4 linked regions of the Ovis aries genome follow. The protein of the gene in region 4 interacts with the protein of the main gene of each other region in a pairwise test. Links are inferred from orthologs where the notes say so. Each region holds a gene or a part of one and is shown on either strand. Other genes may lie near its edges.

Region 1 (4,535 bases), on a different chromosome or scaffold from region 4:
AATTTTCAATCAAATACCTGTTCTTGAACACCCTTTTCAAGAGTGGCTGCCAAAAGTCTGCTTGATTTACATTCTTTGTTGAGTCATCTGAAGAAGTGACTTGATGATATAAGTCTAGGGAAAAAGGGTGAAGCCACCATGTAGGTGACCTATAGTAATGTAATGTCACCAGGAGCAAGGAATGAAAATTGTAAGGTCAATATGATTAAAGGAAATGTTCTGGGCATATGATACTTCAAGACATTGTTCACTTGGAAATTACAACTTGTCATCCAAACAGCGAATAGCACACAAAATATAACAAAGTTCAATAAGAGGCTTCAATATTCACAGGATATTCAAGAATCTGCACACTAATGAGCATGAAAATGGATTTTGTAGTAACTCAGGTTCCACACATTAATTTTTATGAGCTCATCACAAGAACAGAAGCTTCCCTGAGAGCTCAGGGGAAAAGAGACATATCACTGTATCTATACTAATTCAAAAGTGTCTAATGTTATTAATACTTCATCTGTCCTGGTATCTTTTCCAGCTACCAAGATACATAAGGTACCTCACTATACTCCCAGAAGTTATTCTGCTTTCTTCACTCACTATATTTTCAACAGTACCTTTTAAGTAAGCTGTCTATATTCTTTCTCTAGATTGTGACCATCTTGACGATTGTGTCATGTCTTTTTCATCTTTGCACTCCTAACAAATAACAGTGCCTGACATTTGTTAGCAATCAATAAAATCCTACCAACTAAGTCAAATCTTCTTTTTACTTGATTAAACCATCTAAAAATCTAAACCAATGCTACTCAAAGTAGCAAGACCACAGACTGTTTGTTTATGATAAGGCGTTTGAGCCAGAATGTGTGAAAGAATGGCTTCCTTTTTTGAGCAAGCCTTGCTATGAAAAAATGTTTAGCTAAACTAAGCAACGCTATCTGACCTATATTCTTGCCCCACTTTGAGCCAAACACTTTGACAGTTAGACAAAGACATTTTTATAAAGAAAATTAACTTTATGGGTGAAAGTTAAAATTAACTTTCATCTACTTTTATAGCATATGTATATTTACAAATACCCAAAATGTTTAAAAATACAGGGATCTACTTTCACTGGTTAAAAAAATATAATAAAATAAAGACACAGAGCACTTAAAAAGTTTTTTTTTTTTAAAGCCAAGACACATTAAAAAAAAAACCTAATAAATTTTTAATTAGAATTTTTTTCCTTTTTTTAAACAGGACAAGTAACAGATTACATCAAACTTCAGAACTTCTCAAATATCTAGTTATTATACACATTCCCATCTGTCTTGCAGGGAGGGATCTTGGTCGGCTTAACAGTTTCAGGTAAAATAAGCTGCATAATAGTATATATTACAGTAGTAAGTGTACAATGCTTACATGGAATATGTTTTAGAAGCAAGAAAAAGATGCATATGCATCAAAAGGCGACCTCTTAAAATGCCACAACTATTTTTTTACATTCACTCTTGTAACAGGTCACAAGATGGGGTCACTAAGCTCAGATAAATCACTGTGATGCACATAAAATACAGAAAGATTGGTTATTATATATATTATATATATATTTATATTTTCACATGTTAGCATCTGAGACATAAACTGAGAATTTAAAATTTATTCTCTTCAGATAACAAATCATTTTTTATTCTTCATAAACATGGTGCCCACAAAAGCACACAGGTAAGGCACAATAAGGTTTTCTGTTACAGAACAGTGTGCATCATGTTTACTTAACCAGGAAACGTGCATTAACTGTGCAAGTTCATGCTGCAAACCTAACACATATACAATTTTAAATAAAAGAAAACTGAGCTTTAAACAAAATCAAAATTGGTACAATTTCAGCTTTTTCACATATTCATTTGGACTGACAATGATATATCAACAGGTTATTTTTAAAAAGCCAATTGCTACATTACAAGTAAACTTTACTCCGTTAACTATTTTAATCTGAAATCATAAACCATAATAAAGTAACTTTACTGAAACAAAGTAAATACCCAGGCACAAAGTGACCATCACTCGTGCATTTAATATACTGCGAACTTTCATAACCCAAAATTGCGAACGGAATTTTTCAAATACACATTTTGCTGCGACAATGTGCCCTGTTTTAAACTTGACATAGAACAGGGAAGCTAACATTTCATTAAATTATAAATAGATTGGGAAAATGATTTAATTCCAGCGGTACTATGTCATAGCCCTAGTATTTATAATAAATACAGCTTTTCACAAAATATTTTCCCAATATCTGCCAATTGCTTTTTTATTGCTCACATAAATTTGAATCTATTACAACTGATATTGGAACTTTCACACAAAATCATACTCAGACATTTTTATATAAAACCTATAAAAGTTATTTTAAACTTGTATCTAATACTTCCAGGTGTTTGGCTGTTTGATCTGTATGATAGTACAGCCATATGTATATATGTGTGTGTATATATACACATATACACATACACACATATATATATACATACACACATATATACACATACATATATATACACACATTAGATTATGAATAAAATAGGAAGCTTATTTTACTGCTTTAATGCAGACATCCTCACAAAACAGACTACTTTGGCTGTCACCAGCATTTATACATATATACAAAAGCCAGTTTAAGTACATGTACATCCACTTACACGTTTATGTAACCACTAAACCCGAATTGATTTTCCCATATTCCAGCTGTAGCAAATGAATCTCTTACAAGCAATAGAAACCTAAGGTTAAATTGGGAAATTAATAGTTTTACCACATTAGCCTGTAAGGAACTATTTAGGTGACTGTATACAAAAATTCACAATATCAGTTTACAGGAAATTATGGAAAAACAAGAAGCCTTTTCCCCATGCTTTTGTGTGGTTATTCAAACACTTCTTGGTGCAAAAATACAACCATCACATCTGAAAATGCTTAATAAGGTCAATGTTCCTCATGCAAAACTTTTAAGTGCATTGGCTTAACTGAACTCCAAAAACTGAACAAAACAATTACTCTATCTACTCAGCATTGCTGCCTCACTGCTAAGTCCCTTTGGAACCTTAAGATTTCTGGAACGTTCAAATAGAGCTGTATTCAATAAAAATATTACATACAAAAAGCATTTAAAAAGGGAGACAGGAAGCCAAACAGGAATTTTCCTACTGTAAAGAACAGTCTTAGGAGTGGAAGAAAGTCTTTTCAGGAACCTCCTTGAGAATTGCCTAGGCCAGTCCGAAGACGAAGATGAGACATAGAGTTCATGTGTTTATTTGATGGCTTCAAGGGAGTGTTGCAAGTAAGAGCCTGGGGAAAGCGATGGTGATATCTATCTAGTCGTAAATATTTTACTGTAACCAATTTCCCTGTTGTAAGATAAAAATAACATTTTAGATCTGTGTGAATGTGCTTAATATTAATAGAAATCAAACTGTGGTAAAAGACAAATGAACACACAAAAAATAATCTAAAATTATTATTCTATAAATGATAACCTAAGATTCTTTCATTTAAAATCTGGTAGAATTTAACAGTAAGCCATAATTTATCTTTTCAAAATGTTTGTAGTATTCAAGTTTCTTACCATCAAACCAAGAGCCATGCAATGCCTTAAAAGCTTTCCCAGCATATTCTGGAGACAGACATTTAACATATACACAACCCTGGAATATTTTAAAAAGAAAACAAAAAGGAAGAAAGAAAGAGTCTTAGTTTAATAGCAATAATTCAACATGAAGAATTCAATAGTGAAAGCTACTTTACCTCACGAGAGTTCTTGTCTACTGCAATGTGAACAATGCCATCGTTATCACTGCATTTTTCTAAAATTGCTTCTTGAATTGCCAAATGCCACTGATCCCCTATTTCCCTAAAAAATTAATGAAAAAAAAATCAACAGCCACATTCCTACTCAGAAAGCAGTTTTCTGTCTCTTCAATGAGTGCATACTAAGTTGCTTCAGTTGTGTCTGACTCTGCAACCCCATGGACCGTAGCCTGGCAGGCTCCTCTGTCCATGGGATTCTCCAGGCAAGAATACTGGAGTGGGTTGCCATGCCCTCCTCCAGGGGATCTTTCTGACCCAGGGATTGAACCGGTGTCTCTTATGTCTCCTGCATTGGCAGGTGGGTTCTTTACCACTAGCATCACCATATACCTAACTAGAATTAGGACAGCTTAAAAACCATATATTGTAAAAAACTAACAGTATATAAATGCTTGTTACTAGCAGTAGGTAGATTTTAAAAATGTTGGCATTCAGAAGTCCCAGCTATGTTCTCACTTTCCGGTGTAAGAATGTACAAGCTGAGGCACTGAAGGATCAGCCTACCATAGCAAGAAGGATCAGCCTACCATAGTAAGATAAATATGTTTTCAATTTTATGTTTAAAATCCTTTGCACTTATAGTCATTTCTCTTTTCTATCTAAATAAGTGTTAACAAACACTTCAATGAGTTGTGGTAAACTTATAAAAGTTAAGGATTATTTTTTAATGACATTTTCAAATTCCTAAC
Region 2 (5,708 bases), on a different chromosome or scaffold from region 4:
GGATGTGGAAAGCTGCGAGCCCAGGGCAGGACAGCAGCTGAAGAAATCAAGAAATCACTTAAAATCAACTAGAAAAAGTCTGCGGTCTGAGGTGGGCAGGACCCCTGCCAGGCTGTTTACAGCAGTGGCCTCAAAGCCAGAAGGCACTGGTGCTTCCTGGGTATCAAAGAGTAAGATGTGCCATGTGATGGCCCCAGGACTCAGGAGCCTGAGGCTCAAGTGCAAGCTCTGCCCCAGGTTCCCAGGGGAGCCTGGGTCCCTGTCAGCCTCAAAATTGTGAGGGGGGCCCAGTCCTGCCTGCAAAGCCTTGAAGGGGGAGCCTTTTGCTGCTGCAGGATCTTCTTCCTCCTCCCATGCTGCAGAGGGGGCATGCAAACCCATGCCAAGCTCGCTGGCCTTTGCACTCATTAATCTCACCGAGATTGGCGCCCACTATACAGGTGAGAAAACTGAGGCTCCAAGAGGGAAGCAGCTGGTGCCAGGCCTCTCCATGTGTCCACAGCAGAGTTGGCGGTATCTGGACTCCTGAGGCTGTCTACCTCCAGCTCCGAGAAGCCCCTCACTCCCCAGCATGCCCCCTGGGTGGGGGACCCAGTGGTCTGCAGGCCCCCACAGAGTCAGAAAACTCTGCAAACAAAGAGGCTTTGCCTCCCTCAGCCTGACTTTCTACCTTGAACAGAGGAGAAAGGCTTGCAGACAAGATGTTTCTTCTGGAAGAGGCCCAAGGCACTCAAGGGGAGAAGCGAAATCATGTGGAAGAGCTGACCACCAGCCATTGAGCCTGAAGCAGGTGGGCCTGGCCTTTAAGAGTCTGACCACGACAGGGCACCCCGCCCTAGGAAGCCCCTGCCCCCACCTGCCCCTTCCACCAGGTTGGGGACATCCGGAAGCCGCCTGTGCACGCGCAGCCTGGGGCACACCTCTTGAGCTGCCATATGTTCAGGACTCGGATTTCTCAGCAGCTGCCACTACCCAGGAGCCTGCCCTTGACACTGGGCGGAGGTGGGGGGAGCGGAATGAGCGGGGCGCAAACATTCAGGAAGAAGCCCCAAGCACTACACAGATCACTTCCTGCCTGGCTTTATCTTGACCCGCCTGCCCCTCAGATCTGTGTTTATAAACAGCGCCAGGCCCACAACAGCTTCCAGAGCCTCAGTTCTGGGCCCCTCAGGAGCCGCATGGAGAAACAGCGGCCTGGATACAACAGTCACACTCAACTGAACAGGGGCTCCTCACTGCAGGAACTCAGAACTCAGCGCATATGGCTACACACCCTCTAGGGGAGTGCCCAGTCCAACCCTTCCCCGCAACCCCTCTCAGGGGCCTCAGGTGAAGAGTCTCAGATTTCCAAGTGTATGAATAAGTCCCCCTTGCTCTCCTCTCAGATCAGCCCATTTTGCATCCATCCCAAAAGATAAGTCTCTGGTTATCACTATGAAAGGTTTAAGAAAGTGTCTCAAAGAGGGGGTTATTTCAATGACATGTAAAGCACTCCATGGGGACAGCAAGGTGCTGAAGAAGCAGGAAGGTTCCAGAGGATCAGAGAAGGCTGGGTGGCAGTTCTGAGACCCCCTAGGACAGAGGCTCATGGTTTAGAGAACTTGATAAAGGATCAATCTGATCTAATTGGGGAGGGGGCCCCAGTCATGGAAGGGTCAAGTAGAGTTCATCAGATCATATTTCAAGGCCCTAGATGGTATAATAGTTCAGACCCTACTCTCTGGCTGGAGTGGCAGGCCTGCATCTAGAGCCACAGGCCCACAGTGCCCTGAGGAAGTTAAATTTCAGGGCTCCAGGGGACTTCAGGCCATAGGATGCCACCTTGGGCTGGCAGGGTTCGGACCCCTGCATCTCTAGGGCAACTCTCAATTTCTCAAAACAGAGCGGTGGCCGCATGTGTGATGCAGGTATAGGTGGAGGGCACTCAGGGGTGAAGGGAGAGTAATACTGGATAATCACAGAACCATGAGGGCTGTATTTCAGATCCCCGTGGGAAGCAAAGGGAGACGGAGGGAGAGGGAGGAGCGAGAGAGAGAAAACATTTACAGGTCAGGACCCCTGGGAGGAAAGATCAGCGGGGGAGGGGGCGGGGCCTGTCTTGCTAGGTCCCTTCCCCACCTCCGAAAGATGAGCGGCCTTGAGTAAACTTCTCAGGCAAGAACCTAGCCTAGTCAGGGGCAAGGGTTCTGGAGCCTCACCTCACAGGGGCCTCTGACAGTAGATACTTCCCTGGGAGAGAGATGCACCCAGCTTAGTGCCAAGACGGTTAAAAGGGGCCTCAAGCTAGAAGGAGTAACATCCTTGGGATGTAGAATGTGGACCCCAGACAGCAATGCAGGGGAGACAGACTAGGAACCATTTTAAAGAACCTTGCAATCAACTGGGGACATTCCAAGGATCAACGTAAGAGACCCGCAGAAAGAGCAGGGCCTCAGACGCCAGAGCTGGGCTGTCTAAACAGATCTAAAGAGAGGCTGTGTGCGGAGTGTGGTCTGAGCAGTAGACTCGTGATGGCCTGAGTATAAGGGAAGCAGCTGGGGTTGGAAACGGGGTCTGATCCTCCGAGTGTGGAGTCTAGGGCTCCCAGGAGCAGAGTTCACAGCTGCACAAATGCTGTCGGGAGGAGAAAGAGTGAGAAGGAACGCAAAACCCAGGACCTGTGACTGAGAGAAAAGAGTTAGGAAGGAGCTGACACCAGGACCAAGGCTCCATCACACCGGGAAGGCAAGCTCAGGAAGGCAAGCTCAGTTAACACCGCGCTCACTCCGGGGTGAGAAGGGTGTCAGGAGGGGGCGGGGCTCTGGGACCAGAGCGGGAGCTGAATAAGGGCTCTAAACCCCAGCCTGGGGTACAGACCCTCAAGAGACACCCTGTGTTTGGGGGCGGTTCAGGATCCCCAGCTCATCACCCGTGGCAGAAAACTCAGAGGACCCTTCCGAGCAGAGAGCCGCCAAGCGCAGCCTGATCAGCTGGGCGAGGAGACTTGAGACCCAGATGCCAGCCCACTATACCATGGGAAGCGGTGAGAGGCGGACACTCCCCCAAGCCAAAGAGCGCCGACCTCGAGGAAGGGACGAGCAGCCCAACCCGTCACGCTGTCCGGGGGGAATGTGCCTCAAGCTGGAGGCGCGGCCCTGTGCCTGCGTTCAGCGCGATCTGGACCCTAGTCGCTAGGGTTGGAGAGGGGAGGACCCAACCTCACGCCTGGGGGGGCCGAACCCCCTGCTCGGAGACTGGGGTGAGGTTTTGGGGGCCCCGCCCCCGGCCTCCCGCGCCCCGCCCGCAACCGGAGCCCCCAGGCCAGGGACGGGCGAGGGGGCAGGACGCCGAGCCGCAGGCGGGCCGCGCCGTGGGGCCCCGAGCGGAAGGCACAGACCTCGGGCTGCCGCCCGACCCCCGTCCCCCGCCCGCCCTGGCCGGCGCCGCCGCCGCTCACTCACTTTGGCCTCCACCAGTTCCGCCGCCATCTTGGCCACCAGCGTCCCCCGCGCCGGGAGCCCCCAGCCGTCGCGTCACGTGATCGCCTTCCATTCGCGGGCGGGGCCCGCGCCGCGGCCAATTATCACCCTCGCGCCCTCCTCCCCTCTGGCGCGCGCGACCGCGCACTGCGCAAGCGCGCGCGGCACCGCCCGGGCCTCCGGCCAATCAGGGCTGCCCGACTACGCACCCACCCTCCCCGTTTCACTCACTGTGACCACGCCCACCCCTGGCCGTGTCTGGTTTCTTAAAGGGGTACAAGGCCGGCACAGGTTGGGGCGGATACTGGGTCCTGTCTGACGAGAGAGTAGACAGTTGAGGCGACAACAATGCAGCCAGGTGTCGCGGTCTCCTGCGCGAGGCAGCCTCCAGGTGCGTGACCGGACGCCTCGCTGCCAGGAGGGAGAAAATGGTTGGCCCGCGCAGCGGCCGCCACTGCGTGCAGTGAGGCGCCGTGGAGCGCAGCGCGGTTCATTCTCAGCGGGCCGGGAGCCCCACGCGCTGTACATCCGGGTCCTGGGGTGGCTGAGAGGGCGAGGGCGCCACACCCCCTTGGTGCGCCGCCGGCGGAGAAATGCTGTACCCCCTACCCAATTCCCGCGGTGCAGGTGACCACCCTCCCGCCCACTTCCGCCTCTCCACCCACGGTAAACCTTTGGAATTTGCGCTAATCGGAAATTTACCAGCTTTAGAGCTCTCCGTGGCTCCCCAGTGTCGGTGAGCTGCTAAGCCCAAACTTTCTTGTGTCAAAGAAAGCAAGAGGATAAAAACGTATTTCGGGGCCCATCCCTTGAGAAAATGAAGCGCGCCAAATGACTCAGTTATCAAGTTACTAATTTTTATATAAAAATGCAGAAATAGCCATGATGAAGAAAATAATAAAATTTAAGAGAGTATCAGTTCAGCCCTCAGTCGTGTCTGACTCTTTGCGACCCTATGAATCGCAGCACGCCAGGCCTCCCTGTCCATCACCAACTCTCTGTCGTCCCCTTTTCCTCCTGCCCCCAATCCCTCCCAGCATCAGGGTCTTTTCCAATGAGTCAACTCTTCGCATGAGGTGGCCAAACTACTGGAGTTTCAGCTTTAGCATCACTCCTTCCAAAGAACACCCAGGACTGATCTCCTTTAGAATAGACTGGTTGGATCGCCTTGCATTCCAAGGGACTCTCAAGAGTCTTCTCCAGCACCACAGTTCAAAAGCATCAATTCTTCGGCGCTCAGCTTTCTTCACAGTCCAACTCTGACATCCATACATGACCACAGGAAAAACCATAGCCTTGACTAGACGGACCTTTGTTGGCAAAGTAATGTCTCTGCTTTTTAATATGCTATAAGAGGTTATACAACTTTGTATAAGTGACTTCCCTCGCCTCACCAGAACTGTAACTCAGCAGGGTTTTGTTTTACTTTTCTTACAGTTACTTTCTTTTTTTTTTTTTAAGGGTGTGAGAACTTCCCTAGGGGTCCAGTAGATAAGACTTTGCCTTCCAATGCAGGGGGATGAGTTTGATCCTTGGTAGGGGCGGGGAGGAAACAAAACATAGAAAGAATGTTGTAACAAATTCAGTAAAAACTTCAAAAATGATCCATATCAAATAAATTTTAAATAAATAAAGCCATTAAAAAAAGAAAAGGTGCACAACTGGCACCCTTGACCCTTAGGCACCCTTCATCTAGCTTCTCCCAATGATAATATCTTACATAACCAACCACAGTGTGTTGTCAAAACCAGGAAATTGATGTTGATACCACACAGTCAATTCAAGTACAAATACTTGGATTTCACCAAGTTTTTTATGCACTTTCCCTTTGATGGTAAGTTCCCTGATAGCTCAGTCAGTAGAGAATCTGCCTGCAATGGAGAACACCTGGGTTCAATCCCTGGGTTGGGAAGATTCCCTGGAGAAGGAAATGGCAACCCACTCTGGTATTCTTGCCTGGAGAATCCCATGGACAGAGTAGCCTGGCAGGCAACAGTCCATGGGGTCCAAGAGTTGGACATGATTTAGCAACTAAACCACCACCACCTTTTGTGGTGGTAATGTATAGTTTTAAGAACTTTGATAACATGATAAGATTCTTGCAGCCATCAAGAACAGTTGAAGATCTGATAATGGTATTATGGCTATGTTGGCTCAGACGGTAAAGCGTCTGTTTACAATGTGGGAGACCCAGGTTCAATCCCTGGGTTGGGAAGATCCCCTGGAGAAGGAAATGGCAATCCACTCCAG
Region 3 (5,468 bases), on a different chromosome or scaffold from region 4:
TCTAGGGATCTAAAATGGAGTGAGACCAGAAACCAGCAAGCCACCTCAGGCCATTTCCAAACAAGGATATAGTCAGTTAATTGATGGCTAAATTGCTTTAAAGTTCATGTGATGAGGGCTCTCCTAGCTATGAAAGTCAAGGATTCTAGCAGTTTTGGAGGAATCCCAGTAAGCCTTTTGTTATCACCTGCTATGTGTCTAAGTAAGCTTCTGAGAGGCCCAAGAATCACCTGGAATATGGGGGTTGGGAGAGGATGGCTATTAATTAGAAGGAAAAAATAGACTACCTGGTTTTCAAGTCTAAAAATTGACACAAAGAGCATCAGTTGGGTGCTTATTTAATTTATATGCAGAGTACATCATGAGAAACGCTGGACTGGAAGAAACACAAGCTGGAATCAAGATTGCCGGGAGAAATATCAATAACCTCAGATATGCAGATGACACCACCCTTATGGCAGAAAGTGAAGAGGAACTCAAAAGTCTCTAGATGAAAGTGAAAGAGGAGAGTGAAAAAGTTGGCTTAAAGCTCAACATTCAGAAAACGAAGATCATGGCATCTGGTCCCATCACTTCATGGGAAATAGATGGGGAAACAGTGGAAACAGCGTCAGACTTCATTTTGGGGGGCTCCAAAATCACTGGAGATGGTGACTGCAGCCATGAAATTAAAAGACACTTTCTCCTTGGAAGAAAAGTTATGACCAACCTAGATAGCATATTCAAAACCAGAGACATTACTTTGCCGACTAAGGTCCGTCTAGTCAAGGCTACGGTTTTTCCTGTGGTCATGTATGGATGTGAGAGTTGGACTGTGAAGAAGGCTGAGCACCGAAGAATTGATGCTTTTGAACTGTGGTGTTGAAGACTCTTGAGAGTCCCTTGGACTGCAAGGAGATCCAACCAGTCCATTCTGAAGGAGATCAGCCCTGGGATTTCTTTGGAAGGAATGATGCTAAAGCTGAAACTCCAGTTCTTTGGCCACCTCATGAGAAGAGTTGAGTCATTGGCAAAGACTCTGATGCTGGGAGGGATTGGGGGCAGGAGAAGGGGACGACAGAGGATGAGATGGCTGGATGGCATCACTGACTCGATGGACCTGAGTCTGAGTGAACTCTGGGAGTTGGTGATGGACAGGGAGGCCGGACAGGGAGGCCTGACGTGCTGCGATTCACGGGGTCGCAAAGAGTCGGACAGGACTGAGCGACTGAACTGAACTGAACTGAACTGAATGCAAGATCTTGACCCTTCCCTTTCCAGGGTTTCAAGACCTAATGAAATAACTTCATTTCAATTAAGCTAAAATTTCATGCATTGCTTTAGTTCAAATTAACTCAGGGAATTTAAAAAACAAAACTGCTTTGGTTTCCTGCTGAGTAAAAAATTTTGCATCTAGTTGTGAAGGGAGGAGTGGCAAAGGAGTAGTTTTAGGATTATTGTTTGATTCTAGACACTGCTTTCAGGCACTGCTACAGAATCACACTGAGATGGGAACGCTTGGAATTTAGTTACACTCCCACAGTCGACCGAATTTTTCTGCTAAGAGGTAGGCAAGAGCATCTGACAATCAGAAAACTTTCACAGATTTGTCCAAGGTCCTACAGAGTGAGTGATGCACCTGACAGAGCACATATCCCAAGGTACTCGCAACTGTTTGATTCCTTTTTTAAATTCTGAGTTTGAAAACTCAGACCTACCATTACTTGCTCTGTGAACGGGTTAATCGCTACACAAGTCTCGGTTTCTTATCTGTAAAATGGGTCTAATATGCCACATGAGGCTGCTTTGAGAAATACAAATTTAACAGACCCTGAGTTCACTGTTAGTTTCGTACGGGGTTTTCTTTTCCAATCTAGAAAGAGAGCTGCTTCCTCGCGCAGCGTCAGCGTCTTGAAGTGCCCCACCCCCGCCCCATATCCATCTCCCACACCACCCACCCCTTCCTTGAATTCGTGTGTCTGAACACAGTTCTAGTCCAGACTCTTCCGCGTTGTGACACGAGGTCACGCAATTCCAGTTCTCAGGGTCTCGATCGCTGCCCGGGACACAGGTACGGTCGGCCCCGACCTCATCAACATGGCTGCTGGAAGTGGCTTGTAGGAAGAAGAAAGGTGCGGCACTGCAGGATCACTTCCGCTTCCGTTGGTGCAAAAGCTTTCACTTCTCGTGCTACCGTGACTAAGATGGAAGCACTGCTGGAGTCGCGGTCCGGACTTTGGGCCGGGGGTCCGGTCCCCGGGCAGTTTTACCGCATTCCGTCCACTCCAGGTTCCTCTGTGGACCCGGCGTCCGCGCTGTACGGGGCTCCGATTACGCGCACCCAGTAAGCTCTTGGCGCCTTAGCCTGCGCAGGGGGAGGGACAGTGGGGCCTGGTGCCTCCCGCCGGTTCTGGGAGCCGGGGAAGTCGAGGCGAAGACCCGGGGCGCGCGACAGCGGGGGAGCTCAGGGAGGAAGGTCTCGGAGAATGAAAGGAGCCGTGGAAAGTCAGAAACGGAGCCCGCAGCTCCGGAAGCCGGCTCGTGCTTTTCGCCGCGCCGCCCCTCAGCAGACCTCCCTCTCTCTCTAGGAACCCCATGGTGACCGGGACCTCTGTCCTGGGGCTCAAGTTTGAGGGCGGAGTGGTGATCGCAGCAGACATGCTGGGCTCCTATGGCTCCTTGGCTCGTTTCCGCAACATCTCTCGCATTATGCGAGTCAACAACAGCACCATGCTGGGTGCTTCCGGAGACTATGCTGATTTCCAGTATTTGAAGCAGGTTCTCGGGCAAATGGTGTAAGTCATCTAGAGAGTAGAAGTAGTTGCCAAGTGGGGAGGGGAACCCACAGTTTTTTAATCCCTTCAAAAATTTCTGCGGGTAGAGAACAGGGAGACTTGCTGGGGGTGAAAGATGTGAGAAGTTTTGCAAATAGTTTATTTCAGTGGGTTTAAATGGGGAAGATTGTGGTAACGTCTTTTCGGGGTGGATGGAAATCCTGACTTCTGTTCTTTTATAAGGATTGATGAGGAGCTGTTGGGAGACGGACACAGCTATAGTCCTAAAGCTATTCATTCATGGCTGACCAGGGCCATGTACAGTCGCCGCTCCAAGATGAACCCCCTGTGGAACACCATGGTCATTGGAGGTTATGCTGATGGAGACAGGTTGATTTTAATACAAATAACTTAATTTCCTTGACCACCCAACCTCTAGTGCCTGTTTAGTGTCTGTCTCTCCCCCCTGAGTGAATCCCACTTCTGCCTCAGACCCTATAGTCCCATTCTTCAGCTAAGATACAGAAACCTAAGATGACCTATTGTGTCTTTTTAGCTTCCTGGGTTATGTGGACATGCTTGGTGTGGCCTATGAAGCCCCTTCGCTGGCCACTGGTTACGGTGCATACTTGGCTCAGGTAAGTAGTCAGTTGAGGGGTAGAAGACAGAAGGTAAGATTAGTGGCTGTCTGTTTTACCCTTTAAATTCGGGCATGAGAAACAGACTATGTTCCCTACTGCTGGGTTTATTTTTGGTCTAGAGGCTGTAATGACAAGGTGGGGTATGTCTTGGAGTGAGTCAGTATATGTATGCAAAGTGAGGACACCCATGAATTTCCCCTTCAAGTGGGTCTTAGCACAAGTAAGCAGAATTCATTCTGCTGAGGCAGTAAGTAGAATGTCAGCTTTTCACTTATGATTCTCTTTACATCATGGATTTGCAACAGATCATCTGGTATTCAGCCCATGGTATCTCCTGTTTTTTCCTCCCATCTCCTTAGCCTCTGCTGCGAGAAGTTCTGGAGAAGCAGCCAGTGCTGAGCCAGATGGAGGCCCGAGAACTAGTGGAACGCTGCATGCGAGTGCTGTACTATCGAGATGCCCGTTCTTATAACCGGGTGAGAAGTGTGAATAGTAAATGGGGATCTAATTGGCAGGCTGTGCAACTCCTGAGTCTCTATATGTTGAAGAACAGGCCATTTCTGTGTCTATTTTTCACATTTCAGAAAAACCCTCCATTTGACCTTTGACCAGGCCTGAGGCGTCTTTGATGACAGGGTTGGTATTTTCATTGAGAGCTCTGCTTTTTTTTTCAGTTTCAAATTGCCACTGTAACTGAAAAAGGTGTTGAAATAGAGGGACCCCTGTCTGCGGAGACCAACTGGGATATTGCCCACATGATCAGGTGACTGACATTAAAATTACAGTGGAATAATAGTTGGGAGATCCTGGTTGTAGTAAGGTTGGTTTTTCTGGAGGTCTCAACCAAAAATTCTCTGGGTGGCAAGGGTTTGGGTTGAAGATAGAGCTACTTTTGGGAATTGATTTCTCACTCTATGGCTTCATGATTTTATCATCTCTTTTTTTAGTGGCTTTGAATGAAATACAGATGTGTCATCCAGAACTGAAGTTGTACCCTTCTTCTAACTTTGAACTTGGTTGGTTCAAAGGTACTATTCTTTTTGTAAAATAAATAAATCCTTTGAAATGCTGGCTGAGTGGTTGTATCATTTGACTAAGTCACACCAAGAATGAAACTGCTAAGTACTGCTATATGCCATCTCCCTGCATAGTCAGAGAACTCTGGTTCTTGTAGCACATATAGACTTCTCTGCATAATACAGAAGCTCCACTACTGTCTTCATTTGGGTCTCTACTGAAGGCTGCTTTCTGTAAAAGTCAGACTTGATCTTTGTGTGATAATTAGCTTTTGTGTTTAACATTTTTCTTCAACATTCTCACCCATGCACTAGACTCTGAAATAGACTTTCTGGTTAATGTTGACTGCATATGGAATTTGTTAAAACATCATTTCAAAGATGGAAATGTAACATCTAGTCGACCTGTAGATTACTCCCAAACCTGAAGTAATAGCCTTAATCCTGCACCCATCCAACGTCCTCACCCTTCATGGGGAAACCTAATTTTGACATATAACCTAAATGTTTATTTCCAAATCTACTACTGATTTCTAGCACTGTAAGATCAGAGAAGGCAATGGCACCCCACTCCAGTACTCTTGCCTGGAAAATCCCATGGACAGAGGAGCCTGGTAGGCTGCAGTCCATGGGGTCACTAAGAGTCAGACACGACTGAGTGACTTCACTTTCATGCATTGGAGAAGGAAATGGCAACCCACTCCAGTGTTCTTGCCTGGAGAATCCCAGGGATGTGGGAGCCTGGTGGGCGCGGTCTATGGGGTCACGGAGTCGGACACGACTGAAGTGACTTAGCAGCAGCACTGTAAGACCTCTTAGAATATTGTGTTCACTTAGAAGTCCTGTAGTTGTGAGTCAAATCAGTTGGGAGTTATTAGCCAGTTCTTTTGCCAGGATGGTGTTAAACTTGAATTTTAAAAAACATCCTGGGTAATACTGATGGTGTAGTATCTTTTCTAAACCTCTTTTTGAGAAACTAGTATAGGCAGGAAACCCCAAAACTACTACAGGCATACCTTGTTTTTATGCTTTGCAGATACTGCAGTGTGTTTTACAAA
Region 4 (4,896 bases):
GGTGATTGCAGCCATGAAATTAAAAGACGCTTACTCCTTGGAAGAAAAGTGTTGACCAGCCTAGATAGCATATTCAAAAGCAGAGACATTACTTTGCCGACTAAGGTCCGTCTAGTCAAGGCTATGGTTTTTCCAGTAGTCATGTATGGATGTGAGAGTTGGACTGTGAAAAGGCTGAGCGCCAAAGAATTGATGCGTTTGAACTGTGGTGTTGGCGAAGCAAGGAGATACAACTAGTCCATTCTAAAGGAGATCAACCCAGGGATTTCTTTGGAAGGAATGATGCTAAAGCTGAAACTCCAGTACTCTGGCCACCTCATGCGAAGAGTTGACTCATTGGAGAAGACTTTGATGCTGGGAGGGATTGGTGGCAGGAGGAGAAGGGGACAACCAACGATGAGATGGCTGGATGGCATCACTGACTCAATGGACGCGACTCTGAGTGAACTCCGGGAGTTTTCGATGGACAGGGAGGCCTGGTGTGCTGCGATTCATGGGGTCACAAAGAGTCGGACACGACTGAGTGACTGAACTGAACTGAACTGAAGTGGCGCAATGGTTAAGATTCTGCCTGACAACGCAGGAGACCCGGGAGACTGGGGTTCCATTCCTGGGTTGGGAAGATCCCCTGAAGCAGGAGATGGCAACTGACTCCAGTGTTCTCGCCTGGAGGATCCCATGGACGGAGGAGCCTGGCGGGATCCTCTGTAGTCCCTGGGGTCGCAGAGAGTCAGACCTGATTTAGTGACTGAGTAGACACGTACTGCTCTTTTCATGATTAAGTCTCCCTGCCTCTGCAATTTCGTTTTTTAGTCATTTAGTTATGTTTGGCAAAGAATATTTGAGAAAAATCTCTCAAGAAAGCAGTGAATTTTATGAATCCTAACATCTTACGTGTGAAGAAAGGAAACAACTTTTAATCAAAGTAAGCAATAATGACATGTTTATTTAAAATTTCCAGTAGAGAAAACCCACTAGTTTTGGAATAAAAGTACTCAATGTATGAGAGCGTAAGTGAATATAAAAGATTAGCAGAAGAAAAATAAAACCAAACACAGTACAAAAAAATTTTTTTTAAAGTTTGAAATTGGTTTAAACAGAGATGTTCTTTAAATCCTCCAAATATTTAACAGAGTTACTAGGTTTGGCAAATAATTCACTTGAAAATTAAAGCCTATTTCTGTATTGTAAACTCCATAAAAACTCCTTATTAAATTCAAGCAACTCCATTCAACTGTGGTACTGAAATACACAGGCTGTCAATTTCAGAACAGAAGGAATTATTCATTTGCTCTCACAGTTATATGAATTAACCAGCTGCATAACTTTTTATTTTTGGAGAGGATGAGATAGCAGATGCAAAAAAAAAAAAGGATAAAATCTCTAAAAAACTGAAACACAGCAAAATTCAGATATTAGTTTGTTTCTTTAAAGCAACAAACTGAATTTTTACAGTATATTCTACATTTGTCCTTTCCCTCTCCCCCCACCCCCCCTTCAATACTCCTAAACCCACTAGTCTAATCAATTCTTAACTTTCAAATATTCTGTACATATATATTTAGCAAAGAGCGTATGTCTAACATTATTCTGACAGCATTATGGTCAGCATACAATTTTAGAAAGATTACTATGTATATCACCAAGATTAACCTTTACTTAAAAAACAAACAAAAACCTTTACTAAACGAATAGTTTTAAAATATTATGAAAACCCACGAAGAGAAGACTCCACGCAGGCTCTAAACCTGATAAAAACACACGTCAGAAAGACTATTAATGCTTAACTTCTGCCAAACGATGACCTTAAAGTGCCAAACACAAAAGACTCTCTTAGGATCGTTTTTCCAATAGGTGATTTGTCCCTGGCTTGGCCTTCTCTCCTTTAACTATACACAAAGTCCTGCTAAAAAGTATGCATTTTAGTTGATTTTACAATCCAATGTTACAATGTAAACGAAACAGGTTCTTGATATCAACAGTATGTTACCCCGGTTTTTCAATTTCTGAATCCGACAGTTGGTCACAGAGGTCAAGTATTGTCAAGGCTCCTTTGTCAGTTCAGATGGTTGTCTGACTCATCCATCCTTCAAGTACATGCAAGGCTCAATAGTGTTCCAGAGGCAGAAGCCTGAGGCGTTTAAGACACAGATGAAATGGGGTTATGAGGTGAGCCCATCTGGGTAAGGACTTTATCCAGCCACTGGAGGGGGCCGTGCAGATGGATCTCGATCCAGCAGGGGGTGCTGGTAACATCCTGGCGGTGGTATTCTGCTCCCCAGCCCTGGAAACAAGAGTGGGAGTCATTTAACCTGCTTGACTCAGGGGTTCAACTTACGGAGTAAAAACAGCTCACACAACCAGACACTCCCATTAAAGATACGGTTCTCTTCACAATACAAATGTGTATGCATGATTTGGCAGACAATTTCATAGCTCCCCAAAGGCCATATGTGGATTCCAGATTAAGAAGTACTGGTCTTAGGGGACCTCCCTGGTGGTCCAGTGGCTAACACTCCGTATTTCCACTGCAGGGGGCTCGGGCTGGATCCCTGGCTGGGAAACTTATGATCCCGCATGTTATGCAGTATGGCCAAAAAAATTTTTAAAAAAATAAATAAATAAAGAGAATAAGTCTCAGGGAATGAAAATTTTAAACTACATTATTAAGTGTCCGACTCTTCGTGATCCCAAGGATTGCAGTCCGCCAGGCACTTCTGTCCATGGAATTCTCCAGGTAAGAATACTGGAGTGGATTGCCATTCCCTTCTCCAGGGAATTTTTCCAAGCAGGGGACTGACCCCATGGCTCTTGTACTGCAGACAGATTCTCTACGGTCTGAGCCACCACAGAAGCCCAAACTACATTATAAGGCTGTTGTAATAGCCACTTTGTAACTTTCATTTTCACTGTCCATTATGTCCCCATACTATGATGACAGGTATTGTTAAACTCTTCTCTTATCATCAAGAAAATAAGAAAAAAAGGTATGTAAGACAAACTGACATTCTGTTTCTCCCTATTCAGCCCTTGCTAACACAGAGCTCCTGACCTTTTGATCTCTAAGCAAATCTGGAAGGAGCACGTAAGTATCCAAAAATCTATTAGGAACACCTAACCAGTGACTTGGATCATTTGTAAAAGAGGGTAGCTTGCCAGAGACCTTCAGGATTACTGAATTAGGACATGACAGTTGACAGAAGAAGTCCCTATGAAAAAGAGAAAAATAATTTTGCTATTGCAAACATCAAATCCTTACGGGTGTGGTGGATGAAGGCATATGAGATACTGATAAACCCTTGTTTCCTGAGAGATGTCAGAGAAGGCTGGGTTCTCTTTATCTATCTCAGGAATTTCAAGTAATGTATCTGAATATCAGAACTTTCAGAAGAAACTTGAAATATATGAACCGCACAGGTATAAACATCCATGCATCTGTAAATGTATCAACATGCTGCTAACTTTAATGGGAAGGTTTAAGTGCATGTTTCTGCACTAGACAGTAAGTTCTTTGAAGGTAGAGACCAGATCTCACTAATTTTTTTTTCTCAAACATCTAGCAGAGTGATTGGCACAAAGCAGAAGATGCTTGTTGAGCCGAAATGACTTAGAATTTTCACATATGGGGAGTCTACTGTGCAAATAATTTATAAAATACATGTTTAAAGTCCAAAATCGATCATTTTCACTAAGTAGTACAAAATCAGCTATTAATATTATTGAAATGTTTTCCATCCTTTCTCTAAGATGCTGAGGGAAGAGTATGTAGTGCTTATGCTAATAAAGAACAAGGCTGTACAGTGATCACATTTTTTGTGGCTCATGTAGTAAGTAGCTGCCCTTTATCATGTCAGCAAGAGGTTAAAATGTTTAACTGTCCAAATCTAGCTTCTCAGCCTTGTCCTTTATAGCTTGTATAACCCTTCATTCCAATATCAATTTATATTATAATTAAACATAGGCTGAGCCATCAGAATCTTGAAGCTAGAGACTTTAGGTGTTTTATCATCTTTGTATTGCTATTTTGGAATGGTGCTAAAAAATGTTTGCTGAGTGAATGAAATGCTAATCTATTTTTAATGCCTATCTTTGATTATAAATACTTTTTATTAGTGTAAAGGTGGTTTTCACTTATGTAAAAGTAAGTAATTAAAAACCTGTAAAAGTAAAATCATTAACATTGATTGGGTAATCAATAAGAGATAAGTTTGAGAAGAAAGCCAATTGGAGCATTACAGTCATAAATTCTCCTAGAGTGGTCCTTTGATAATAATAAGGGACCCCAGTTCCCTACCTACAGCCACCCATTTTAAAGATAATGAACAGGGGATCAGGAAGGAATCTCTGGGCCTTAATCACATGACAGAATAAGAACATGGATCTTCATGTTTTATTTATTATATTTCCTCCCTATCAATAAAAACAATAAACACAAACAATGCTGGCAAGTCACCGTCCTAATTTTAAAATTCACTTTAGTCAAAATGCTAAGTCAAAAATTAGGGACTTCCCTGGTGGTCCCTGATGCTGGGAAAGACTGAAGGCAGGAGGAGAAGGGGATGACAGAGGATGAGATGGCTGGATGGCATCACCGACTCAATGGACATGAGTTTGAGCAAACTCTGGGACACAAGAGGACAAGGAAGCCTGGCGAGGTGCAGTCCAAGGGGTTGAAAAGTGTCAGACACAACTTAGTGACTGAAGAATTATAACTGGTGGTCCAGTGGCTAAAACTTCGCCCTCCAATGCAGGGGCTATGGGTTTGATCCCCAGTCAGGGAGCCAAGATCCCACATGCCTCGTGACCCAAAAAACCAAATGATAGAACAGAAGCAATACAGTAACAAACTCAATAAAGATGTTAAAAATGGTTCAATTAAAAAAAAATCTTTATAAA

The links.
Region 1: the proteins of SMAD1 (region 4) and LEMD3 interact in binary tests that used the Homo sapiens proteins (3 or more experiments, as listed by UniProt). The link is inferred for Ovis aries from reciprocal best matches to the Homo sapiens genes SMAD1 and LEMD3.
Region 2: the proteins of SMAD1 (region 4) and PIAS4 interact in a two-hybrid assay, tested with the Homo sapiens proteins (2 studies listed by BioGRID and IntAct). The link is inferred for Ovis aries from reciprocal best matches to the Homo sapiens genes SMAD1 and PIAS4.
Region 3: the proteins of SMAD1 (region 4) and PSMB4 interact in binary tests that used the Homo sapiens proteins (3 or more experiments, as listed by UniProt). The link is inferred for Ovis aries from reciprocal best matches to the Homo sapiens genes SMAD1 and PSMB4.

What each region holds. Positions count from the first base shown.
Region 1 is NC_056056.1:154,710,887-154,715,421, forward strand, and holds the end of LEMD3 (inner nuclear membrane protein Man1), read right to left. Parts: intron 3,890-4,535; coding exon 3,784-3,889; intron 3,684-3,783; coding exon 3,605-3,683; intron 3,387-3,604; coding exon 3,223-3,386; 3' UTR 1,184-3,222; downstream 1-1,183.
Region 2 is NC_056058.1:17,801,655-17,807,362, forward strand, and holds the start of PIAS4 (E3 SUMO-protein ligase PIAS4), read right to left. Parts: upstream 3,493-5,708; 5' UTR 3,468-3,492; coding exon 3,441-3,467; intron 1-3,440.
Region 3 is NC_056054.1:101,334,425-101,339,892, forward strand, and holds PSMB4 (proteasome subunit beta type-4), read left to right. Parts: upstream 1-2,159; 5' UTR 2,160-2,183; coding exon 2,184-2,323; intron 2,324-2,567; coding exon 2,568-2,774; intron 2,775-2,996; coding exon 2,997-3,143; intron 3,144-3,309; coding exon 3,310-3,391; intron 3,392-3,753; coding exon 3,754-3,870; intron 3,871-4,068; coding exon 4,069-4,157; intron 4,158-4,341; coding exon 4,342-4,354; 3' UTR 4,355-4,465; downstream 4,466-5,468. UniProt on the Homo sapiens protein: Non-catalytic component of the 20S core proteasome complex involved in the proteolytic degradation of most intracellular proteins. This complex plays numerous essential roles within the cell by associating with different regulatory particles.
Region 4 is NC_056070.1:12,801,600-12,806,495, forward strand, and holds the end of SMAD1 (mothers against decapentaplegic homolog 1), read right to left. Parts: intron 2,285-4,896; coding exon 2,141-2,284; 3' UTR 927-2,140; downstream 1-926. UniProt on the Homo sapiens protein: Transcriptional modulator that plays a role in various cellular processes, including embryonic development, cell differentiation, and tissue homeostasis.